5 linked regions of the Oryzias latipes genome follow. The protein of the gene in region 2 purifies or fractionates together with the protein of the main gene of each other region. This does not show direct contact. Links are inferred from orthologs where the notes say so. Each region holds a gene or a part of one and is shown on either strand. Other genes may lie near its edges. The genes, in order: tubgcp3, mitotic-spindle organizing protein 2, tubgcp4, tubgcp2 and tubgcp5.

The links.
Region 1: the proteins of mitotic-spindle organizing protein 2 (region 2) and tubgcp3 purify together in Homo sapiens (affinity purification with mass spectrometry; 3 studies listed by BioGRID and IntAct, counting the BioPlex papers as one, with this or other methods). This does not show direct contact. The link is inferred for Oryzias latipes from reciprocal best matches to the Homo sapiens genes MZT2B and TUBGCP3.
Region 3: the proteins of mitotic-spindle organizing protein 2 (region 2) and tubgcp4 purify together in Homo sapiens (affinity purification with mass spectrometry; 3 studies listed by BioGRID and IntAct, counting the BioPlex papers as one, with this or other methods). This does not show direct contact. The link is inferred for Oryzias latipes from reciprocal best matches to the Homo sapiens genes MZT2B and TUBGCP4.
Region 4: the proteins of mitotic-spindle organizing protein 2 (region 2) and tubgcp2 purify together in Homo sapiens (affinity purification with mass spectrometry; 5 studies listed by BioGRID and IntAct, counting the BioPlex papers as one, with this or other methods). This does not show direct contact. The link is inferred for Oryzias latipes from reciprocal best matches to the Homo sapiens genes MZT2B and TUBGCP2.
Region 5: the proteins of mitotic-spindle organizing protein 2 (region 2) and tubgcp5 purify together in Homo sapiens (affinity purification with mass spectrometry; 3 studies listed by BioGRID and IntAct, counting the BioPlex papers as one, with this or other methods). This does not show direct contact. The link is inferred for Oryzias latipes from reciprocal best matches to the Homo sapiens genes MZT2B and TUBGCP5.

The regions. Positions count from the first base shown.
Region 1 is NC_019860.2:22,843,906-22,848,518, forward strand, and holds the start of tubgcp3 (gamma-tubulin complex component 3), read right to left. Parts: upstream 2,897-4,613; 5' UTR 2,769-2,896; coding exon 2,693-2,768; intron 1,657-2,692; coding exon 1,549-1,656; intron 586-1,548; coding exon 518-585; intron 189-517; coding exon 111-188; intron 1-110. UniProt on the Homo sapiens protein: Component of the gamma-tubulin ring complex (gTuRC) which mediates microtubule nucleation.
Region 2 is NC_019870.2:3,061,321-3,065,785, forward strand, and holds the start of mitotic-spindle organizing protein 2, read left to right. Parts: upstream 1-1,438; 5' UTR 1,439-1,654; coding exon 1,655-1,830; intron 1,831-2,047; coding exon 2,048-2,208; intron 2,209-3,591; coding exon 3,592-3,729; intron 3,730-4,465. Other genes in the region: E3 ubiquitin-protein ligase TRIM23, read right to left, coding at 1-50. UniProt on the Homo sapiens protein: Required for the recruitment and the assembly of the gamma-tubulin ring complex (gTuRC) at the centrosome.
Region 3 is NC_019861.2:4,196,348-4,200,817, reverse strand, and holds the start of tubgcp4 (gamma-tubulin complex component 4), read left to right. Parts: upstream 1-1,306; 5' UTR 1,307-1,393; coding exon 1,394-1,471; intron 1,472-1,923; coding exon 1,924-2,052; intron 2,053-4,470. Other genes in the region: protein CDKN2AIP homolog B-like, read right to left, coding at 521-774. UniProt on the Homo sapiens protein: Component of the gamma-tubulin ring complex (gTuRC) which mediates microtubule nucleation.
Region 4 is NC_019877.2:19,477,624-19,482,210, reverse strand, and holds the start of tubgcp2 (gamma-tubulin complex component 2), read right to left. Parts: upstream 2,931-4,587; 5' UTR 2,827-2,930; intron 2,498-2,826; 5' UTR 2,471-2,497; coding exon 2,321-2,470; intron 1,421-2,320; coding exon 1,292-1,420; intron 100-1,291; coding exon 1-99. UniProt on the Homo sapiens protein: Component of the gamma-tubulin ring complex (gTuRC) which mediates microtubule nucleation.
Region 5 is NC_019862.2:28,164,822-28,168,839, reverse strand, and holds part of tubgcp5 (gamma-tubulin complex component 5), read left to right. Parts: intron 1-1,112; coding exon 1,113-1,301; intron 1,302-1,370; coding exon 1,371-1,553; intron 1,554-2,145; coding exon 2,146-2,230; intron 2,231-2,312; coding exon 2,313-2,433; intron 2,434-3,553; coding exon 3,554-3,705; intron 3,706-4,018. UniProt on the Homo sapiens protein: Component of the gamma-tubulin ring complex (gTuRC) which mediates microtubule nucleation.

The sequences.
Region 1 (4,613 bases), on a different chromosome or scaffold from region 2:
CAGCGTAGTAAAGATGCGAGACGATCCGTGACGCAGCGAAATTATACAAGACAGAAGAGGAAATAAGATAGAAACATTGTGTTTGAGTCGTGGGGGGGGGGCGCGCTCACCCTGGAGGATGGTTTGCGGGGGTCTTCAGAGAGAATCAGCAGCAGGTAAAGAACCGCCCAGCGGTGCTTCAGAACACCCTGAAAGGTGGAAAACCGTCAAAATAAAAGCCCAGCATCCTTCAATCAAATGAAAGAAGATTCAATTTTGACCAAATTTAATAAAAAAAAAAATCATAGCTTATTAATTACTAACATCAATAGCTTTAAAATTAAAGTACGGCAAGAAACAAACAGAAAAATGGACAACAATCAAATAAATGTGGACTTTTAACCTTTCGTCTTCACGTATTTTGTTTTTTCCTCATTTATTCATCTAGTATTACAAACTCAGCTGAAATAGTGTCGTCAGAAGCCAGCAGGGTCGTTTTTGGAGGTTTATTCTTGTTGGCGGGTAGAAAAACGCTCACCTGAGTCTGGAGTTTTCGGTGCAGCTCTGAGAAGAGAGCAGCGTCCGCCTCCCTCCTCTGCTTCACCACTGCAGGAGCATCGACACCAACAGTTAGACGCCATCCAACGCTCCTTTCACAGCCTCAAACGTCTGATGGTTTCATGTCCACATCTATCAAAAACCCTTACGCTTGTTTCAGTTTATAGAAGTACAAATTAAAACTGAAACGTAGCTTTTTAATTAAATTCTGGTTTTTTTTGTAAAATAAAAACAAATCCGACAAACTCTTACAGTCAAAAGTTAACTATATTATAAAGCATGCACTGATAAAATGAAATAAATGTGTTAATTCAACAAAAATTGGTACTTTTAAATGAGAAAAACATACAACTTTGTAAATAAAATAAAAATTCAATTAAATAAATGTTCTTAATAAATATGTTCGTTAGAAAAAACACTAAAGACAAGTATTAAACTTTACAATAAGATTTTTTTCTTACAGAAGCATATTACTAAGTGTAAACATATACAATGTTGAAAGCAAGACGAAGGACGAAATTAATTTTTTCCCGAACTAAAACCAGGTTTGAATGCATCCCGACCGGCACCTGGAGCTGCAGACAAACACAACTAAAGAGGCTTTTCTGTTGGACTTCCTGGAACAAACTCCATCATAATTCCGTTTGGGATCAATAAAGTATACCTGGATGGATTCTGTCGTCTGCAGTAACAGAGAGGGGGGGTGCACGTTAACCTCGGTTGGAAGTCTTATTTAAATCCCATTAGTCACAGGAGACGTCCAGCCCCCGCAACCTGGAAAGTGCTATTTCAGTTTGATGATGAGCGACGAGGCTCAGATCAATGTTTTCCCGCTAGCGCTACTGCAAAGCAAGTCAATAGATATTTGCTGCCGAGAGGCAATAAAGGTTTTCAACGTTGCTGAGTCTGACGTTTATCCGCACAGGCCAGATGCTAAAGGGACCAAATTCAGAAAAGATGCAGCAGAGGAAGAAAAAAAAAAAAAGCCTCCTGAGGTCAAAGGTCACTCACGTTCCTTCTTGATCTTCTCCGACACCAGGAACTCGTCTCGCTCAAAAGTGGGAGCGTAGTTGTTGCCGATGACTCGGACGGCATACTGAAACTGGTGGGCGACTTCAGCTGCACAAAAAACAGATATTTATTAAATCAGCAAAAGAGTTTATGCTTTAAAAAACAAACAAACAAACAAAAACAATGGTTTTCATTTTAGGACACAAAAGGAAGAAATTCTGATTTTTTTCACCAAATTATGTCACTAAAAACGGTAACTGTGAATTACTGGACAATGCTGCTTTTAATTCAGTTGTTAAAGTCTCACTCTGGTCATATTTTGATCTATTTTCAAAGCCTTCCTGGTTTTTTTCTTTATTTATTTTGTTAGGATTATGACCTTAAAACTGTTTAAAAACATGTTGTTTTCCAGGACACAGTTGTTGCAGAGCAGCAGAGGCTCATTTGAAACTCGCCTCCGTGTTGTGGCTGTTGACACGTAGTAGTAAGTAAGCCCCGCCGCCCTTCCCATCATCCATCTGTTTACACGCTCTCCCGTTGGCTTGCAGCCCCTCACAACCTCGCCCTAACATTTTTTTTGCCTCGTTTCTGGGGCCTGCAGCCGGGAGTCAGTGGTTCCGCACGGGCTGCCGAAACGCTGCCCAGCTAACGGCGGTCCCGAGCCCGGCATAGCGGTTTAACGCAGCAGCTGTCAGGCGGGATGCTGCAGCATCAAGACCGCAGCCTGACATTCAGGCTAACCCGGGCCGAGCTCCCTGCGAACCACGGATTCCTTTAAGACGATTCGCTTGATCCCCTTCAAATGCTGGCAGTAAAGTTCAGCAAAAAATTCCACGCGGATCACCAAATAATTGTTGACATGTATTGCCAGAAAACCCGGTTTACGATGATCAAATTCCGTCGGCAACGCTCTGGGTTTAGCCGGCGGGAGACTTTACGATTGTATTTAGTCACTTATAAATGTCAAGCTTCAACTTCATGTGCCGAATAAATCCGTTCCCACTAACTGTTATTTTAAAGTCATTAAAATGAATAAGAAGCAAGTTAAACCGCCAATCTGACCCTCAACCTGAAAGAGTGTCGTTTTCAAAGCAGCTTCGCCAAAGTAGCGGTGTCGCGGCTATGCTAGCTCTGGCTCCCGTACCTTCGCTTTTCCCCGTGATTCTGCAGCACAGGCTCTGCAGGAGGACGTTGGGGGATTTCTGGTCCAACGTCGCCATCGTTTTCACCACAGACGGGATCAATTCGCAAATGCAGGGAAGGAATAGTTATTAACCGCAGCCTCCCACAATGAGCAACGCCATTTAGCGACTACGAGTCAAAGTAGCGGGGAGGACGGAATCTGAAGTGACCCTTTTCCTGCCCCCTTCAAAATAAGAGCCTTCAGCATAGTTATCAGAATTGCACAGAAAATAGTAAATAAAAGAAAAGATTCCAAATAAGACAGTTATTAACCTCACTAATATACTATATACTTGAATTCTAAAAGGCATATTTATAATAGGTAAAGTATGAACAGTAGAGTGTTTGGTGCATTTGCATTTAATCATGCATTTAAAATTATAGTTAAAAATAATTAAAACTACAAATGATTGTATTTTATTGTGTAGAAAATAACTATTTTGCACAATTTTTTAAATGAAATGTTTTCTTGGTTGCAGTAAGGCTATCCTTCAATGTGTGCAAAAAAAAGAGAAAGAAAATAGATTTTACGGCTAGTACGTGGTGGAAGACCTCAAAAAAATGTAGACAATAGGCCTGCACAATATATCGCAAGTTTATCGAGATCAAGCTGTGCTATATGCATATCGCAAAAGACTGCGAAAATTCCAATAAATGGTTACTTTAAATGTGCCAAAACAATCTTATGACAAAATTTGTCTCGAAAAGGTCTTGATGCGTTTTATTGTGTAGTAGTTAACAGGAAACATCCGCTTTGATTACAAAGAACTTTATTGAGACAGTTCAATTTACCCGCCGAAATGCGTCCCCGGTGTCGGACACGCCATGGAAAAAAATACTTCCCTATTGAAACAAGGGCCTTTTTTGTTTGTTCCTACCGGTTCATCGTTTCCGTTATTAGGGATTTGAAAATTTCTCACAACTGTCTTATTTTTACATTAAAAACATCATAAAAAATGCAAATAAAGTTAAAAAAAAAAACAGAAAACACGAATTAATTAGCAAATATTTTCTTTATTTATTATTTGATTATTTGTTGTAAGAAACTATCTATTACATACAATTAATGTAGAAAATTTCCACCATCACCCCAATATTCATTTGAAGTCACATTAGCAGCAACAGAGTTCCTTCCGACAAATCAGATTTAAGGATGGCGGTGCACCAAAATGTCCTTCATGGAAAAGCTGGTTTATTTTAGCCGAAATTACATTTGCTGTTTAAATGTTTGGACAGTTTCAACACTTAAGGGAAAAAAAATACAGTTTGCACATTTATTAAATAAATAAAATAATTTGTTTCTATCCAAATAATCTGAATTTATTGTGGAGTGTCCAGTATTATATTATTTTATATTATATTATAAATGTTCCTTTTTGCTTGCCATGTATTTAATGTAGATTTATTGTGAAAAACTTAATTTAAATTCATTATTATTTTTTCTATAATAAAAAAAAAATCTAAAACCAAAAAACTAACGGCTTTTATTTGCTTTTTCTTTACTGGACATGAGCATTTCTCAGAATAATGTTTACGGTTAAGCCACGCCCCTTTGATGCGTGGGTGGGAAGGGCAGTTGGGTGTCCACACAAGTTGCCTCCCCTCCCCTCAGAGGCGCCACTGGCCGGTAAATACCCCAGAGGTAGACGCACCTACCCCCCTGTTCGATGCCACAATCCAATCAGTCATCGAAGACTCCAGAGCGCATGCGTCCATCAAAGCCAGAGCCACCACCTGGCTCCGTGTGACGTACATGAAAGAAAACCTCCCGACACAAGTGGCTTAGTGGGAGTTGGGTTCGAGTCGAGCATCAGGTCGGTGCTGCGCGCGCGCGCCTCGGAAGGTGCCAGCTTCTGCTTCTTTAGAGCCGCGTGGACAGTGAA
Region 2 (4,465 bases):
GGCTCCATCGTCACCACGGTGCCCTGCTTGTTTATTCCCGCAGCCGCCATTCTTAGACGACAGTGCAGAGGACCGGGCCAGACCGAGACTACATTTCCCAGCTACTTCCGGTTTCGTCTACTGAGTTTTGTTGTGAACAGGCAGGTGTGAAATCAACTTCCGGTTCCAATTAACACTAATGCGTCCGTTGTTTTCCTTTTCTTAAATTGTAAAAATATTGGATAAAAATAGAAACAAAAAAATGAAATATTTAATAATAACCAATTAAACATAATTAATACATTAACATATTGTAGCGACCTGGGGGTTAGCCCCGCCTTCAGCCCCTAAGGCTCATGGGAAGTGGGGAGCTTAGGTGAAACCTTGAGTCAGAGGGCTGGAAGCTGAAGTTAGGCTCCGTGCTGTTTGGGCTGTATGGTGTGCTAGAATAAACAGGCTTGTTGCATAAAAACTAATATTGCCTCTCTCTACGTTTCTTCCAACTTGAGACTGTAATGTGTCGTACGGTGTATGGGGCACGGACAGCTATCCATTAGAACCTCTTCATGAGCAGTAGGCTTTCGCTACCCCACTAAAGTGACGGTCCGGCCGGATCGTTACAATATAATACATGACTTGTATGTTAATTACCATAAATTATACATGATTAATAATGAACGTTTTCGTTCTTCTAACATCGGATCAATTTCACCTGTATAATACAGCATGTAAAATGTGTATTAAGGATTTATTTATTTTATTAGTTTATTTGACAAGATAACCTTTTGCACATGAAAATGCATCTTTGCAAATTCACCAAAGTTAGCCAAAAGGTTATTTATCATCTGTCGTACCTGGACAGGTAAAACAGTTGTCTCCTAAAAAACAATTTTACCTCAACAACAAAAATACAAAATAAACATAAATGAGAATAAGAACTTTATAACATCCGTAAAAAGGATAAAAATTCAATTTAAAAATAAAAGTGTAATAGAAGGAATTTATAAGCACAAAAGAGATTAAGCTGATATAAGGAGGAGATATAAGGTGTACAAAAACAAATTAACAATGATTATGAGGATGTGTAAAATGGAATACTACTATTACTAGAGACTACATTACCCATCATTCTTCAAGACTAGCTTCTTATCATAACAATGTTTTTGGTGGTTTTTCTCTTCAAACTGAGAAAAGAACAAAATATGACAACAGGCTCCTTTTCAATAAGATTATTAACATTTGTGAATCTTAAAAACTATTTACATAAAGCATACTTAGCCTATTTTACACCTAAGTATTTATGTTACTTGTTTTTCTTTGCCACCGTTTTTGCTATAAGTCTGTATTATGTTATGTTTTTTATATAATTTAATTTTCACTAGTTTTTTTGTATTCTGCTAAAAAAAATTACAATAAAGTTGTTGAAAAAACAGTTCCACAGACTACTGTCTCTTGATGATGACGTGTTTTCGGCGCGACCTACTTCAACACAAAGCAGCTTCGTGTTTTCGTCTCCAAACCCCCGCATTTGTTTTTATACTAAAACGTCATGCTTCATGCAAACATTTTGCCTGTCGTGGGTTTATATGTTAGCTAAATTTCTGCAGGACGTCGATTTGTTCTCTCTTTTTTTGTTATTGTTTAAAATATAAAGCCGTCGTATTAATTATCAGGAATGTCTCAACCAACACAAACGTCGCTGCCCGCCGCCCCTGACAGCCCCGCGCTGGTGGTCACAGCGAACGTGCAGAAATTCGCCGTGAAGAAAAAGAAAGTTCTCACCGCAGAAGAAAGTGAGCTGTTCGAGCTGACCCAGGCTGCAGGCATCACGGTGGACCAGGAGGTGTTCAAGTGAGTAAGGCTGACTGACCTGACCTCGCTCAGGCCACAAACTCCTCTTACCTGAAATATTTGGAGCCCGGTTGATTCTTTAAATAAAATGAATACATCCTCGCTGCATTGATTCTCATATTCTTCTCTTCGTTTTTGCACCGCTGCCTTTTGTTGCCCATCATCACCTCAGTTTTGAAGAACATGTGGTCCAGTTTCATGTCTTCCTGCATCCTAGGATCATGGTGGACCTGCTGAAGATGAACGTGGCCCCTCAGGCAGTTTTCCAGACCCTGAAGGCGATGTGTGCGGGTCAGAGAGTGGCAGACGGCTGTGGCGGCGAGTCCTCAACCGCCTCCCACGCGGCGAGCGCCAACACGGCACCTCCAGAGCCCAGAGGTGAGGGGAGGTCACACCAGCGGCGTGACCACGTCTACTCGTTCATGAATTGATGGGATTAGGCCGGAATGATCATGAAGCACATTTAATCCAGGATAATAAAAATGATCAAAAATAGGAAAATGTTTTTAGCTTTCAGTTGCTTTGGTGAAATAATCCAAAGCTGTATTTGGAAAAATCTTGTCTCCGCCTAAACATTTAATGCTCCTTCATTAAAATTTGCTCACATCCTGCCTGGGGTTTCAGGTTCATCATGGGGTAGAGGCTGACAAGAAAACCAAATAAGGCAGTGGTATCAGAGTGGGGGTCCAGGCGGAAAATCCACCCCTGTCATCCTCTCGGGTGGGGACGTTACAGGTTCCCTTGAGGTTCTTTTCTCCTTGTTGCTGCTTTAAGCTTTTTTTTTTTTTCTTGAGTTACTAAATGTCCCCTTTCTTTTTGAAGCTGTTCTTCACACGCTGCCTCGTCTTTCTTGCCAACACCCCCCCCGTCCTCTTCACGTCGACGTTCACTTTTGGGCATGTGAAATGCGGGTCCTTGAACGCGCTGTTCACAGACGCTGTTCGCACTGGACCGTCACTGCCCGGTACTGCCGCGTGAACTCCTGAACCCCCAAAGCGGTGCGAATCTGGTGGATCTCGCCCCGGCTCTTTCTCTTTCACGGCTCCATCCTGATGCATGAAAGACTTGGTGTCGTAGAATTCCCCCCGGGCCACAAACTGCAATTATTCACTTCTCCTTCATGATGAATTTTCAAACGGTTGACACTTCTGTGAGTTAAAGAGGACGCTATCTATACCCCACTGCCAAATCCAAGTCCCTGATGGGTCAAAGTTCAATTACTTTAACTTTCAACGTGCGCTCAGTGGCGAGAGTTTTAAACACGCAAGTCCAGAACGTGGACATACATAGGCTGTGTCCAAATCCCTGGGCTGCATCCTTCGATGGCTGCGGCCTTCCCGGGCGACGTTGGCCGGGTCTTGTTTATGTCTTGCCTGTAGATGATTCCAGCCGGAACATTGGCAAATGTCCTGTTGCCTAGCAACCGTGAGTCCCGAACAGAGAAGGTGTAGAGAACCAGGAACGGAGCTCAAAGTGTTCCTGGCCTGTTTGATCCAACTTTTAATCTTGTAATGATTTCCAACCCCGGGTCTTGCTTCACAGTCCGCCATTGTTGTCAGAAAATGTCCGGCTTCGGCCGCAATGCATCTTGGGAAATGGACAGCATTGAAGTGTCCGCTTGAACGTACGTCGCTGAGCTTGATGTGAACGTAGCATCTCTCCCGTTTCTAACTTCTCTTCTTCCCCCATCAATTCTTTCGTGTTTTTGTTCTTTCTCTTGTGCGTGCCCCCCCCACCCCCTCTTTTTTTTTTTCTCTCTCAAAGAAGAGTCTTTGGTTTCCGGAAAGAACCCTAAAGCACCTTCAGCGCCCCCCCCGGGGTCCGGCCCCAGAGCCCAGAAAGCCAACACGAAGATCGTGGTGTACAGCCCCCAAGACACTAACTCTTCTCACGCTCAAGGTCCCCTCTGTCATCTCTCACATCCAGCCTTCCTCCGCTTCATACGTGTGTTTGTGTGTGCCCCCCCACCACCACCTTCACCACCACGTATGCATGTTCATGCATGCATGCAGAGAGGGGGGGGCAGAGGTGTTTTATGTTAACATTCCATCTCTGTTTTCAAATAGAAAAACAATCTGTGTGAACAGTTTTGCTCTGTGAGAAACTGGTAACTTGTGGTGGTTTCCATGGCAACGTCCAGATGCATACATTCATTTGACATCAATGTAGATGTGTTCGTTCAGGACGGAAAAGCTCTTCTGGTTATTCCCCATGTTCCTCAGCACGTTCTCTGGCTTCTGGAAGTTTCTCACACTTATGGTTAACTCGATTTGGCAGCTTGGAAGTTTAATCATTAATTTTTGTTTTTGTTTTACTATTTCTATGCTTAAAATTCAATATCAACATTTATATGGCTACTTTATTATTTTTTTAATAATAATTTTTAGGAGTTATTGCTGCTTTTGTCCCACTTTTTTATTAATATTCTTCTGCAATTTCTTCAGCTAGTTTGGTCTCAACTGTTTACCTTGTCAACCGTTGCAGTTAAAACCAGGTTTTTGCTTTGACCTTAGACTGTTTTAGTTAAATATTTTAGTTTTTCCTCCTGAAACGCTCGAGTCAGCAGTGATGTTGGAGGCTCTGCTGCACACTGATGTTAAATGATGACTAATTCTTGTTTTATGCATTTTGCATT
Region 3 (4,470 bases), on a different chromosome or scaffold from region 2:
ACACTCGTTTCTTTTAAGGCACTCAAACGCTTAGCCACGTGTTTAACCTTTGTGCTCTCCTAGGCACTTTAACGTTGGGAGTTGGGTCATCTAGACCCACTAGACAGTGTTCTGAACCTTTTTTCTTCAATGATTTGTGATCTTCACTGGTGTCCATGGATTACATGAAATCTTTCCACCTTTATCCACCTTTGTCATGGTAGGGAGAACACGTCAATGTTGGGGGGGGGGGGGGGGTCATCTAAGATAGCACAAGGGTTAATATGAAATGATGGAGTACCACCTCTGTTTCCATGACAACACTGACTCCTGCAGCTCAAACTAAACTCTGAGCACCAAAGATCATCTAAGCACTGCTCATCTACTCGATGTGAACCCACTCCATTCGTCAGAGTGTTGGTACGTTAACAGACCACTTCTTGCAGCTTCCCCTGGCGGGTCACCGCTGACCCCGGCGACGGGTCACTGCTGACCCCGGTGACAGGGACAGCCCTGGCCAAAGTTCGTTTGAGAGTCGCACCTGCAGCCCAGAAAGACGTGGTTGGCCCAGACCATGGACAGGGACAGCAGGCTGTCCAGGCTGGGGCTGTGGGCTCCGGGCTGCGCGGCGGGGACCCCCTGCCCCTCCATGTTCCGCAGGATGAACTCCCTCCGCGCGGACCACTGCTTGCTGGTCTCACAGAAGCCCCTCAGAGAGTCCACCCACCCCGCCAAATGCGGGTTCTGCTGCAGGTACTCCGAGACCGGGTCGTCTCCGCCCCTCTGCGCCGCCATCCACGTCCACGAACCCTCGCCGCTCAGAGCCTCGCAAACCTGATCCAGGTGAGACCGGAGGGAGCTCCCGGTGGCCTACATGGATGGACACGGACTTTGGACACTTTCCGCCCGGCTGGCGAGTTAAACACGAACTCTTCTCTAAAACGCGCCTGACTGGTTTAAACTCGGCTCAGCTCGACCCTCCTCCTCTGAATTCCGGTTTAGAAGCGGGCTAAATGTGGGTCAAACCGAGCTTTAAACTTGGCCCGGAGCCTCTGAACTGCTCCACTCTGAACCCGCTGCTAGCTGCTGTACCTCCGGGTGATGACGTCAGACCCGCGACAGCATTTCTTCAACTACATTTCCCAAAACAACAACAAAAAACTAAATTTCCCGTTAGTCTGATTTAATTACATTTATTCATCATTTCAAATGACACTTCCAACAATTATGTGCTACGGATTTACGTTTAATTCCTACGTTACTTTTAATATTATTTCCAGAAATAAGAACACGCAAAAACTATAACGTACTGCGCATGCGTTCATGTTGATGACGTAGGCTTCGACCGGAAGGCGGGTTTGTTTTGCCGAATGAAAGAGGTCCAGCCCAGTGTCGGGGTCGTAGGGTAAATACAATGATTCACGAGCTCTTACTGGCGCTGAGCGGGTACCCCGGCACCATCTTTACCTGGAACAAGAGGACGGGTCTGCAGGTAAACGGAAGTCACGTGTCCGACTCGAAACGTGATCATTATATTCCTTTAGCCGCAACCTGCAGACCAGTCAAATGCTGCATCGAGCACCGCAGACCCCCTACCTGGACCCCCCCACCCCTGAACTCCCTCCCCATGCCCGCAGCCCCTCCCTCCTGTGCAGCAGCTGGTGGTCCCTGCAGCAGAAGCTCCATCATGGAGGAAGGAAGCATCTCCTTAGGGAACCACGTCTGCTGACATCTTCATGTTTCTTTGCTACAGATTATTTACGGCTAATCAGAGTCATTCTAAAATACCGCTCATTCCCAGTCCCGATCATTGATCCAGATTCATGAAATGACTACATGCTTTGTGTGAAGTTAGAATCTTGTGTTGTGCAGGAGTTGGTTAACTGTATGGATGTGAAAAGCTGCCGGTCTCTGTCAGAATGAAACATTAATGCTGATGTGCAGGTGTCCCAGGAGCTGCCCTTTCTTCACCCCAGCGAGGCCAGCGTCCTGAACCGGATCTGCAAACTGGGCTCAGATTATATCCGCTTCACAGAGTTCATAGAGCAGCACACGGGACATGTCCACCAGCAGGTGAGTCTGTGTTCAGCAGCAGGTCAGTCTGGTCTCAGGCTCTGGTCTCAGGCTCTGGTCTCTGGTCTCAGGCTCTGGTCTCAGCCTCTGGTCTCAGGCTCTGGTCTCAGGCTCTGGTCTCTGGTCTCAGGCTCTGGTCTCTGGTCTCAGGCTCTGGTCTCAGGCTCTGGGCTCAGCCTCTGGTCTCAGGCTCTGGTTTTGTATACTCTGGTCTCAGGCTCTGGTCTCAGGCTCTGGTCTCAGGCTCTGGTCTCAGGCTCTGGTCTCTGGTCTCAGGCTCTGGTCTCTGGTCTCAGGCTCTGGTCTCTGGTCTCAGGCTCTGGTCTCAGGCTCTGGTCTCAGGCTCTGGTCTCAGGCTCTGGTCTCAGGCTCTGGGCTCAGGCTCTGGGCTCAGGCTCTGGTCTCAGGCTCTGGTCTCAGAGTCTGGTTTTGTATACTCTGGTCTCAGGCTCTGGTCTCTGGTCTCAGGCTCTGGTCTCTGGTCTCAGGCTCTGGGCTCAGGCTCTGGGCTCAGGCTCTGGGCTCAGGCTCTGGTCTCAGGCTCTGGTCTCTGGTGTCAGGCTCTGGTCTCAGGCTCTGGTCTCAGGCTCTGGTCTCAGAGTCTGGTTTTGTATACTCTGGTCTCAGGTCTCAGGCTCTGGTCTCAGGCTCTGGTCTCAGGCTCTGGGCTCAGGCTCTGGTCTCAGGCTCTGGGCTCAGGCTCTGGTCTCTGGTCTCAGGCTCTGGTCTCTGGTCTCAGGCTCTGGGCTCTGGTCTCAGGCTCTGGTCTCAGGCTCTGGTCTCAGGCTCTGGGCTCAGGCTCTGGTCTCAGGCTCTGGGCTCAGGCTCTGGTCTCTGGTCTCAGGCTCTGGTCTCAGGCTCTGGGCTCTGGTCTCAGGCTCTGGGCTCAGGCTCTGGTCTCAGGCTCTGGTCTCAGGCTCTGGTCTCAGGCTCTGGGCTCTGGGCTCAGGCTCTGGTCTCAGGCTCTGGGCTCAGGCTCTGGTCTCAGGCTCTGGTCTCAGGCTCTGGTCTCAGGCTCTGGGCTCAGGCTCTGGTCTCAGGCTCTGGTCTCAGGCTCTGGGCTCAGGCTCTGGGCTCAGGCTCTGGTCTCAGGCTCTGGTCTCAGGCTCTGGTCTCTGGTCTCAGGCTCTGGGCTCAGGCTCTGGTCTCAGGCTCTGGTCTCAGGCTCTGGTCTCAGGCTCTGGTCTCTGGTCTCAGGCTCTGGTCTCAGGCTCTGGTCTCAGGCTCTGGTCTCAGGCTCTGGTCTCTGGTCTCAGGCTCTGGTCTCTGGTCTCAGGCTCTGGGCTCAGGCTCTGGTCTCAGGCTCTGGTCTCAGGCTCTGGGCTCAGGCTCGGGGCTCAGGCTCGGGGCTCAGGCTCTGGTCTCAGGCTCTGGTCTCAGAGTCTGGTTTTGTATACTCTGGTCTCAGGCTCTGGTCTCTGGTCTCAGGCTCTGGTCTCTGGTCTCAGGCTCTGGGCTCAGGCTCTGGGCTCAGGCTCTGGGCTCAGGCTCTGGTCTCTGGTCTCAGGCTCTGGTCTCTGGTCTCAGGCTCTGGGCTCTGGTCTCAGGCTCTGGTCTCAGGCTCTGGTCTCAGGCTCTGGTCTCAGAGTCTGGTTTTGTATACTCTGGTCTCAGGTCTCAGGCTCTGGTCTCAGGCTCTGGTCTCAGGCTCTGGGCTCAGGCTCTGGGCTCAGGCTCTGGTCTCTGGTCTCAGGCTCTGGTCTCTGGTCTCAGGCTCTGGGCTCTGGTCTCAGGCTCTGGTCTCAGGCTCTGGTCTCAGGCTCTGGGCTCAGGCTCTGGTCTCAGGCTCTGGGCTCAGGCTCTGGTCTCTGGTCTCAGGCTCTGGTCTCAGGCTCTGGGCTCAGGCTCTGGTCTCAGGCTCTGGTCTCAGGCTCTGGTCTCAGGCTCTGGTCTCAGGCTCTGGGCTCAGGCTCTGGTCTCAGGCTCTGGGCTCAGGCTCTGGTCTCTGGTCTCAGGCTCTGGTCTCTGGTCTCAGGCTCTGGGCTCTGGTCTCAGGCTCTGGTCTCAGGCTCTGGTCTCAGGCTCTGGGCTCAGGCTCTGGTCTCAGGCTCTGGGCTCAGGCTCTGGTCTCTGGTCTCAGGCTCTGGTCTCAGGCTCTGGGCTCTGGTCTCAGGCTCTGGGCTCAGGCTCTGGTCTCAGGCTCTGGTCTCAGGCTCTGGGCTCTGGGCTCAGGCTCTGGTCTCAGGCTCTGGGCTCAGGCTCTGGTCTCAGGCTCTGGTCTCAGGCTCTGGTCTCAGGCTCTGGGCTCAGGCTCTGGTCTCAGGCTCTGGTCTCAGGCTCTGGGCTCAGGCTCTGGGCTCAGGCTCTGGTCTCAGGCTCTGGTCTCAGGCTCTGGTCTCTGGTCTCAGGCTCTGGGCTCAGGCTCTGGTCTCAGGCTCTGGTCTCAGGCTCTGGTCTCAGGCTCTGGTCTCAGGCTCT
Region 4 (4,587 bases), on a different chromosome or scaffold from region 2:
GCTGGACTGAGGGAGAGTGTAGCTGGTAGTTGTCGTTGAATTTGTGTTTGCTGACGACTCTGATCTTTCTTTGGCATTCTGTTGCAAAAACTGAAGAGTCTAAAAAGAGGGGAAAAAAAGAAAATAAAGTTCTTATTAAAGTCCCACTTTGATCATCTTTTGATCTATTATCAAAGTTTTCTCTGTGGCCTTTTCATTATGAATAGACAGTTTTTAGCCCAAACCAGAAACCTGCATCATTTTCTAGTACATAGTTTCTGCAGAGCTTTAGTAGTTCATTAGAAAATCTCCTCTGAGTTGTAGGCGGGACCATTGGCACAGAGCAACCCCACCCCTCTTCCCTTCCAGGTTGTGGAGCAGGGAGCTTGATCCTCTTCCAACATACGTCACAAAAAAGCTCTTAAACTGTCAGCTCATGATTTCCATCCATCCATCCATCTTCCTCCGCTTATCTGGGACCAGGTCGCGGGGGCAACAGTCTAAGCAAAGATGCCCAGACTCCCCTCGTTCCGCCCCAATGCAGCCCAACTTGATAAAGCCAACAGGACATCATCTGCAAAGAGCAGAGAGGTAAACCAGACCCCCTCTCGCCCCTGGCTGCCCCTGGAAATTCTCTCCATTCATTTCTGGGCGGCAGTTTAGTTCAGGCGGTAGAGCAGGTCGTCCAACAACCGAAGGATTGGGGGAATCGATCCTCGCTCTCCCCAGCCAGCTGTCGAGCCTGCAGCTCACCGCTCCCCCCAGAGGATGGGTCAAAATGCGGAGAAGAATTTCCCCATTATAGGATAAATAAAGTATCAATTAAATTTCAATAAAAAACTATGAAAAGACCCAGTGACTGATTCACCTGGAGCATCTTTATTTTTGAATGCATTCCCTTGTGTTGTCCTAAAAGACACTTTTTGACAGAGTCCAACATGCACCGGAAACAAGTCTGACTTACTGCCGGTTTTGTGAACCAAGCTCTTTCTCCGGTCATATAGAGACCGGACAGCCCTCATGATTTCCATAGATTTAAATAAAAAATACTCAGAAATGCAATGATAAAATTAATTTTCTTTATATATTTCCTCCATCAACAGAACATTTCCAGAAGAACATGTTAAAAACACCAAAACCACATTTTTAAATAGAGTGGGTCCTTAAGGAAAACCACATATTCAGACAGAAAAAAAGAGGTCATGTTACTGGGAGGATTTGCTTTAAAATGACCACTTTCACCTCCTAAAGAAATGTCATTTTGTATGAATGCAGACACCTAAACTTCAGCACAACAAATACGGTGCGTTACCTCTTTATCCTCACAGAGTTTGGAAAGCAGATACACCAAAGGGTCGAGATTTCGAACATTTTTAGACTTGAGCTCCTCGTATTTCTTCAAGAAATCCTCTGGTGTTTTAGAAAACTCCGCTAATTTGACCTAAGAGACAAAAGAAGTAATATCAGACATTGCAAATTATAAACAGTAAAACCACTACGACTCCTACTGTCTACACCTTTCTGTCTTTAGCAGTTGGCTACTCTTCCTTTGTAGCCACCTTTTTAATTTTATCTTTTAACATCCTTCAAATGGAAAAAATGTGTTTTAACTAATAAATCTTAAACTTTTAATAAGGATGTCTTGATTCACTTTCTCCATTACTCGGTTCAAAGTTTTTTGGGTTCGCCATATGATTTATACATTACAAAACAACAATACTAAAATCCATTTATGATTCAGAAAAATCCTTTTTTAAATTTGTTATTAAGCAAGTAACAACGAAGGAAAATCTTTCAATTGGGTTACACTAGTCTGGTGTTATGTAATAAAAATTAATATAATATAAATTTGTCACAAATTTAACACTTTGACTGTACTGGTATGTAGTAAGGCTGCACAATTCTTTCCCCCCAACAATTTGGTTCAGTGATGGAACATATGGTTTGTTTTTAGACTGACAGTTTGGGCATCCCTAATCCAAATATCTGAAATACTGGGCTGTCTGGCATTTGGTTTAAAAAATACTTCTTGAACAGTTTTAGAGTAAATAATCATTCTGTCAATAACATTTTTTTGTTTGTTTCCCAGCAAGTGCAGGTTTGTCTATATAAACATATTTTGAGGTTGTCATTTTTTCCCTTTTAATTATAATAATCATAAATAATATGATCTATATGCCCCCCCCCCCCTTTCTGGCCATCCAAGGTCGCCTCAAAAGATGAAAAACAAATCACAAAACAGCATTCATTAGGGCTTTTTTAATGTCATAAAACGAAAACCATGATAAGATTTGCATGACTATAGACTAGCCTGTAAATAAATACAGCATAAATGACCCACCTTGGCACTGTGAGCAGACACTGTGGTGGTGACGTACGGTGTCCTGTGCTTCTGTAGAAGATCTATGTAACCTTCTGCCCCATCACCTCCACGCAGGTGCAGCAGGCTGAGCAGCTCGTTCACGTCGTGGTGGATCCGGAACTCACTCATGGCTCAGTCAGTCAGTTGTCAGGAAGGCTGGGTTACAAAAACAGAGGAGAGCATCTTAGCTTCAGCGAACACAGCATCTCAGCAGGCATCAGCTCGTTCACACCGACAAACAATCGCCTATAGATTGGCTACGGAGATACAATTACTTTATATATATAATACTTAAAGTCTCTCTGTACTCTGATGCTGAGCCAAATGTTACTAGTAAACAGGCTAACTAGCCTGCAAACTGCAAATGCTAAATAGTATGCTAGCTAATCCAAACGCAAGTGCAAAATTTGCCAATATTTGAATTTCGGTCATTTCTGAATAAACCTTATCACGGGTAAAATACAACATTTCAACTATTTCTGTACCTGCAGGAGTCGTGAAAATGAGCTCACCAACGTTCAGTGAATCATGTACCAAAGGCGCCCAATGCTGCTCAAATTCCTCTTCTTCGTTTGTTGACACTTTACAAGGACATGACGTGAGTCTGCCCCCTACAGGCTAGGTATTCAAACGTATAGATAGATAGATAGATAGATAGATAGATAGATAGATAGATAGATAGATAGATAGATAGATAGATAGATAGATAGATAGATAGATAGATAGATAGATAGATAGATAGATAGATAGATAGATAGATAGATAGATAGATAGATAGATAGATAGATAGATAGATAGATAGATAGATAGATAGATAGATAGATAGATAGATAGATAGATAGATAGATGTGTGTGTGTATATCTATGTCTAAATCTATCTATATATAGATATATATCTGTATCTATATATAGATATATATCTATATCTATCAATCTATATATATATGGTAGATCTGAGGCTCAGATCTACCACACCAGACAAGACCCAAGGTGTAGCCTGTGCAAACAGCCTATACCTGAAACAATCCAGCACATAACTGCAGGGTGTAAGATGCTGGCAGGTAAAGCATACATGGAGCGCCACAATCAAGTGGCTGGAATAATATACAGGAACATGTGTGCAGAATATGAACTGGTAACCCCAAGGTCAAAATGGGAAACACCTCCGAAGGTGGTAGAGAATGAGAGGGCAAAGATCCTGTGGGACTTCCAGATCCAGACTGATAGTGGTGGATAAAGAACAGAGGAAACCTGTTGTGGTGGATGTGGCAGTACCAAGCGATGGGAACATCAGGAAGAAGGAACATGAGAAACTGGAGAAATACCAGGGACTCAGAGAAGAACTAGAGAAAGCATGGAAAGTGAAGGTGACAGTGGTGCCTGTGGTAATTGGAGCACTCGGGGCAGTAACCCCCAAGCTGGAGGAGTGGCTACAGATACCTGGAAACATCTCAGACCTGTCAGTCCAGAAAGGGCAGTGCTAGCAGAGAAACCACCCACGGAGGGTGAGAGGGTCGTTTTTTATTTTATTTTTTTGGCTGAGGGGGTTAAAAAACCATTGAAAATTATTTTTCTTAATTTCATTGAGAAAAAGAAACATCTTTATTTGTTTAAATGAGTCTAGAACGACAAAAATATATTTATTTCATTTATTTATTAGTTTATTTAACAGGGACAGTGCACATTAAAAGCATGGCTCCAATGCGCCAGAATTAGCCCAAAGGCTATTTTTCATCTGTAGTATTTGCAGAAATACAATTGTAAAATGAAGATGAGTAAATAACCGGGAGGTAGTTACTTTATGGTGTGTGACAAAACTTTTTTTAGGTTTTATATTGTAACCCATGGCATATTCTTAAGCAGCTGATGCTTTTATAAAAATAAAGAAAATGGGGGAAAAAATTAAACTTCCCAAGACTTCAAAGAGGTATTTGTTTAGCTTTTAAATTAAATCTGGGGAGGAGGAGTACAGGGATCTTGTGGATGAATTTGTGAGATGGTCTGGAGAAAACAACCTGCAGCTGAATGTGGAAAAGACCAGAGAGATGGTGATGGACTTCAGGAAGAAACCACCAGCTTCCCAGCCTCTCAGCATCCTTGGCAGAGATGTGGCAGAGGTAGAGGAGTACAAGTACTTGGGAGCAACCATCGACAACAGACTGAGCTGGAAGAGCAACAGCACTGCTGTGTATAAGAAGGCCAGCAGCAGACTCCATTTCCTGAGGAGGCTAAGATCCTTCAACGTG
Region 5 (4,018 bases), on a different chromosome or scaffold from region 2:
GGTGGCCCATCAACAACACTCGCTGCCTAACTGTACTTTATTTGAGTTGACCAACATCTACCAGTGTGTCACATTTTTCAGACTAAATCGCTCTGGAGTAAAAGTCGTAGTTGCAATTTTGGGAAAAATGTATTTGATAGAATTAGAGAACGTACGTTTCCTTTTGAAGGACAAATCACAATAACAGAATAGATAACAATAATTGACTGAATATATGCATGCTTCACTACCAGAACCATATTCATCTTCATGAAACTTGCGAGGCATTGAATGAGTAACGGGTATATATTAGCGCAACATATAAACTATTATTCAGATAACATATCATCAAGAATAGGCTAACAAATCGGCTAAACTCTTTATATTTCTTGAAATCACTAAATCCATTTAATTCTTCCTCATCTGTGTCGCTTTTGAAAAACTCAGCTGAGGCTGTCGCTTCTTCTGTGTTGCTGTCGGCAGCAAACACTGAAACGCTCACCCACAGTGCCTCTAACGGCCACTAGGGGGCACTGTAGCAAATGCACACAATCCACGTACATTGCCCCCTAGTGGTTGTTAGTGGGAAATAAACACATGAGCCTTTTTTTTAAAGTCACATATATGTTGCAAGCAAAAGTCACATCCTAAATAAATATGCAGAAAAAAACATTTCGTATCCCCTGAAAAATACAGTATATTTTTAAAATCAGCGTTTGTTTGTTTTTTTTCTTTTTTTTTTGCCTAGCATCATAATTCACTCACTGTTCCCCAATTATTACACTAAATAGGGCGTTTGCCATAAGCTGGAGTGTCTATAATCCAGGGTACCATATATTCCAGCACCATATAGTCCTGTGGGGGTTTGGGAGTAGTGAGAGACTTTGAGCATAGCTATTATGTGATCAGGTGTTATTTCAAACCCTTTCAAAACAGCATACATATATTCTGACGTTTTACTCACTTTGTTTAAGTCTAAACTAAAAACGATTCTGTAGATCTCAGTGTTTAGACGGTTGAAGGTGTTTTATTTGCATATTCATCTAAACATGATTTTTACTGGTACATTTTTTTATTTGCTCTCTTTTTTGTGTGTGAAGTTCTGAATGACGCTGTGCTTTTCCTCTCTTCAGGCTGTACTTGGAGCAGAGCGACTTCCTGGAGCGTTTCTCCGGCGAGGATTTCATCGTGGACCGCTCCTCTCAGTCCGTCACCTGCCAGTCGTTCGAGCTCACCCTGCGCTCCTGCCTCTACCCCCACATCGAGAGGCGCTACATCGAGTGCTGTGGGAACCTGATGAAAACACTGAAGAAAGACTATAAGTAAGCCACCTTTTCAAGTCAAAGAGCGCCTGTGCGGAGCGTCTGATCACCTTTTCCTCCCATCTGCAGGCTGCTGGAATACCTTCAAGCAATGAGAAACTACTTCTTGCTGGAAGCCGGAGACACAATGTACGACTTTTACACGGCCATCTTTGACAAAGTGCAGGAGAAGGAAAGCTGGCAGCAGCCCTCTTTTCTCAACGTGCAGCTGCAGGAGGCGGTTGGACAGCGCAACCTGGAGGACAGTAGCAGGTACTGCAACGCCATAGTGGTGCAATTCAAGACCCAATCTGATGATAATAGTTTTGTTTTTGGTGTTTTTAACCTGACCTTGTAGCATTTTTCTGATGACTGAATATATGGATTAAAAAAATGATACTTATAATTGTTATATTCAAATTGTTGGAAATAGAGCTTGTTTGTGACGTAGAAAATACACTGGGCGAGCCACAAGCTCCCTGCTCTGCTCCATTCTGATGCATCCACTTGCAGACAAATAGATCCATGAATGTCATTGTTTTCCTCATCTGAGTTGGAATCTGGATCAAACATGTGTAGCTGGATAGCTCCAATATTGCTCACTATTTTTATTGTGCCAGTAATGTTAGCTTGGGGGTGTGAGGGGCTGAGCTAGCAGGAGAGTACGTAAGCAGAGAGCCCTCAGTTATGGGTGATGGGAAGGTGGGGACAGGGTTGCTTTGTGGCAACATTCCCTATTTTTGCCGAAAACGGCATATTCATAACTTAAAGAACCACTGGGAACGCTTTAAAAAAGATCAAAAGATGATGGGATCAGGACTTGTGAAAGGTGAACACTAAGAACGATGTTTCTGTTTTTCTGTAGGTTATCCGTCTTTTTAGAGACCCTTGACCACACCAAGAAAAAGCATCCTGTCAATAATTTAGAGGTCCTTACGCTGAGTTACAAGGTAAGCACATGAATGCACGGACCGAAGTCACCCGTGTTTCTGCTGCAGCCATGGTGACATTTGCACGCTTCAATCCTCACAGGTTCCCTGGCCCGTTGACATCGTGATCAGCTCCGAGTGTCAGAAGATCTACAATCAGGTGTTTCTGCTCCTGCTGCAGATCAAATGGGCCAAATACAGTTTGGACACTCTTCGCTTCAGTGGTAAGAGTCGAGATCACAGCTGATTCGTTTACTGAACATCTCATGAGGCGGCTGCAGTTTAGCTCAGGCGGTAAAGCAGGTCGCCCATCGACCGAAGGGTTGGAGGGTCGATCCCGGCACTCTCCAGCCAGGTGTCGCCCCCTGAGCGCGGCCAGCCTGCAGCTCACCGCTCCCCCCAGGGGATGGCTCAAATGCGGAGAAAAAATTTCCCAATCGTGGGATAAATAAAGTATCTTGTTGTTATTAACATTTTCTCTTGCTAGCCTGTTTCTTTTTAACACTGTTCCCTCGTTTAGCACGCAAATTACTTTCTAAAAATAACCTGCGAAAGGGGAAATCCACAAACTAGCATTACAGATGTTTTAAGGATGTAAAACCCATCACTACACAATTTAGAGACTTTGCTTTGACAGACATGAACATTTTCACACTAACTTTAACATTTTTTTTCCTAAGTTCAAACTTTTGTAGAAATATAATTCCAGGATGATAGAATGAAAACAATGAGCTGATCCAGATCAAAGATTGATGTAACTCTGGGATGCTGAGACACGGCATGGAGGACATTGATTGACAAGGTCTACAGCAGTCGTCCCCAACCTTTTTGTCACCGCGGACCGGTACAACGCAAGGCACGTTTACCGCGGACCGGTGGGTGGGTGGGTGGGGGGGTGTTGAGGTGCAACGCAAGGTGTGTATCACGTGATGTTTGGTGTCGCGACTTTGACGTGCGTTAAGTGTGACGGATGTAACAGAGAGAATCCGGTCACTTTTCAAAATAAAACGCTTTTTTCGAAAAAAAACAATAACATGGAAATTATTTTTTCTTTCTGTGCCTCCCGGTGCCAAGTGTCCCGGGCCGCGGATCGGTGGTTAGGGACCACTGGTCTACAGCCAATCAGGATGCAGAACACAGTGTGCTGTTAAATATACATTGAAAAAAATCCGCAAAACAATGCAGTTTAAAAAAAAATTAAAAATAAATCCGCAAGACACGAAAGGTGAGCTGTGATAAAACGAGGGAACACTGCATTTCTAGACTTTTGTCTAGTTGAGGTCATTTGTCTCTGAGGAAAACGGATTGGCGTGTGACGGTAAGTAAATCTGTTTACTTTCACAGATTTTCAAGATGTCACGAAAAAACTGGAAGAAGCCGGAGCTGAGGAGATGAACGCGAAGGAACCACTAAACCAGCAAATTCACAGGATGTGCCTGCTGCGAGTTAAACTGATGCACTTTGTCAACAGCCTCCACAACTACATCATGACCAGGGTGAGAGGGCCGCTCCTGTCTCCACACGGACACTGCTAACTCTAAAACACATGGCATCAAAATACATTTGAAAAGAATTGTATAGGTTGTTTTTTATTTATTAAAAAAACAACAACTACAATTTACAAAAAAAAAGAGCTAAATTGTAGTTTAGGTTTTCCATTCCAGTGGTACACTAGTGGTTTAAAGAGATACCAAGTGTTTGGAAACTTGCAGTAAATATTTAAATGGTTTAAAAAGGTTTTACTTTTCAAATCCTCAAAATCTGTCCAGGGAGTTTAGCAGATGTGCGACTTATATCTGCCTCGAACTA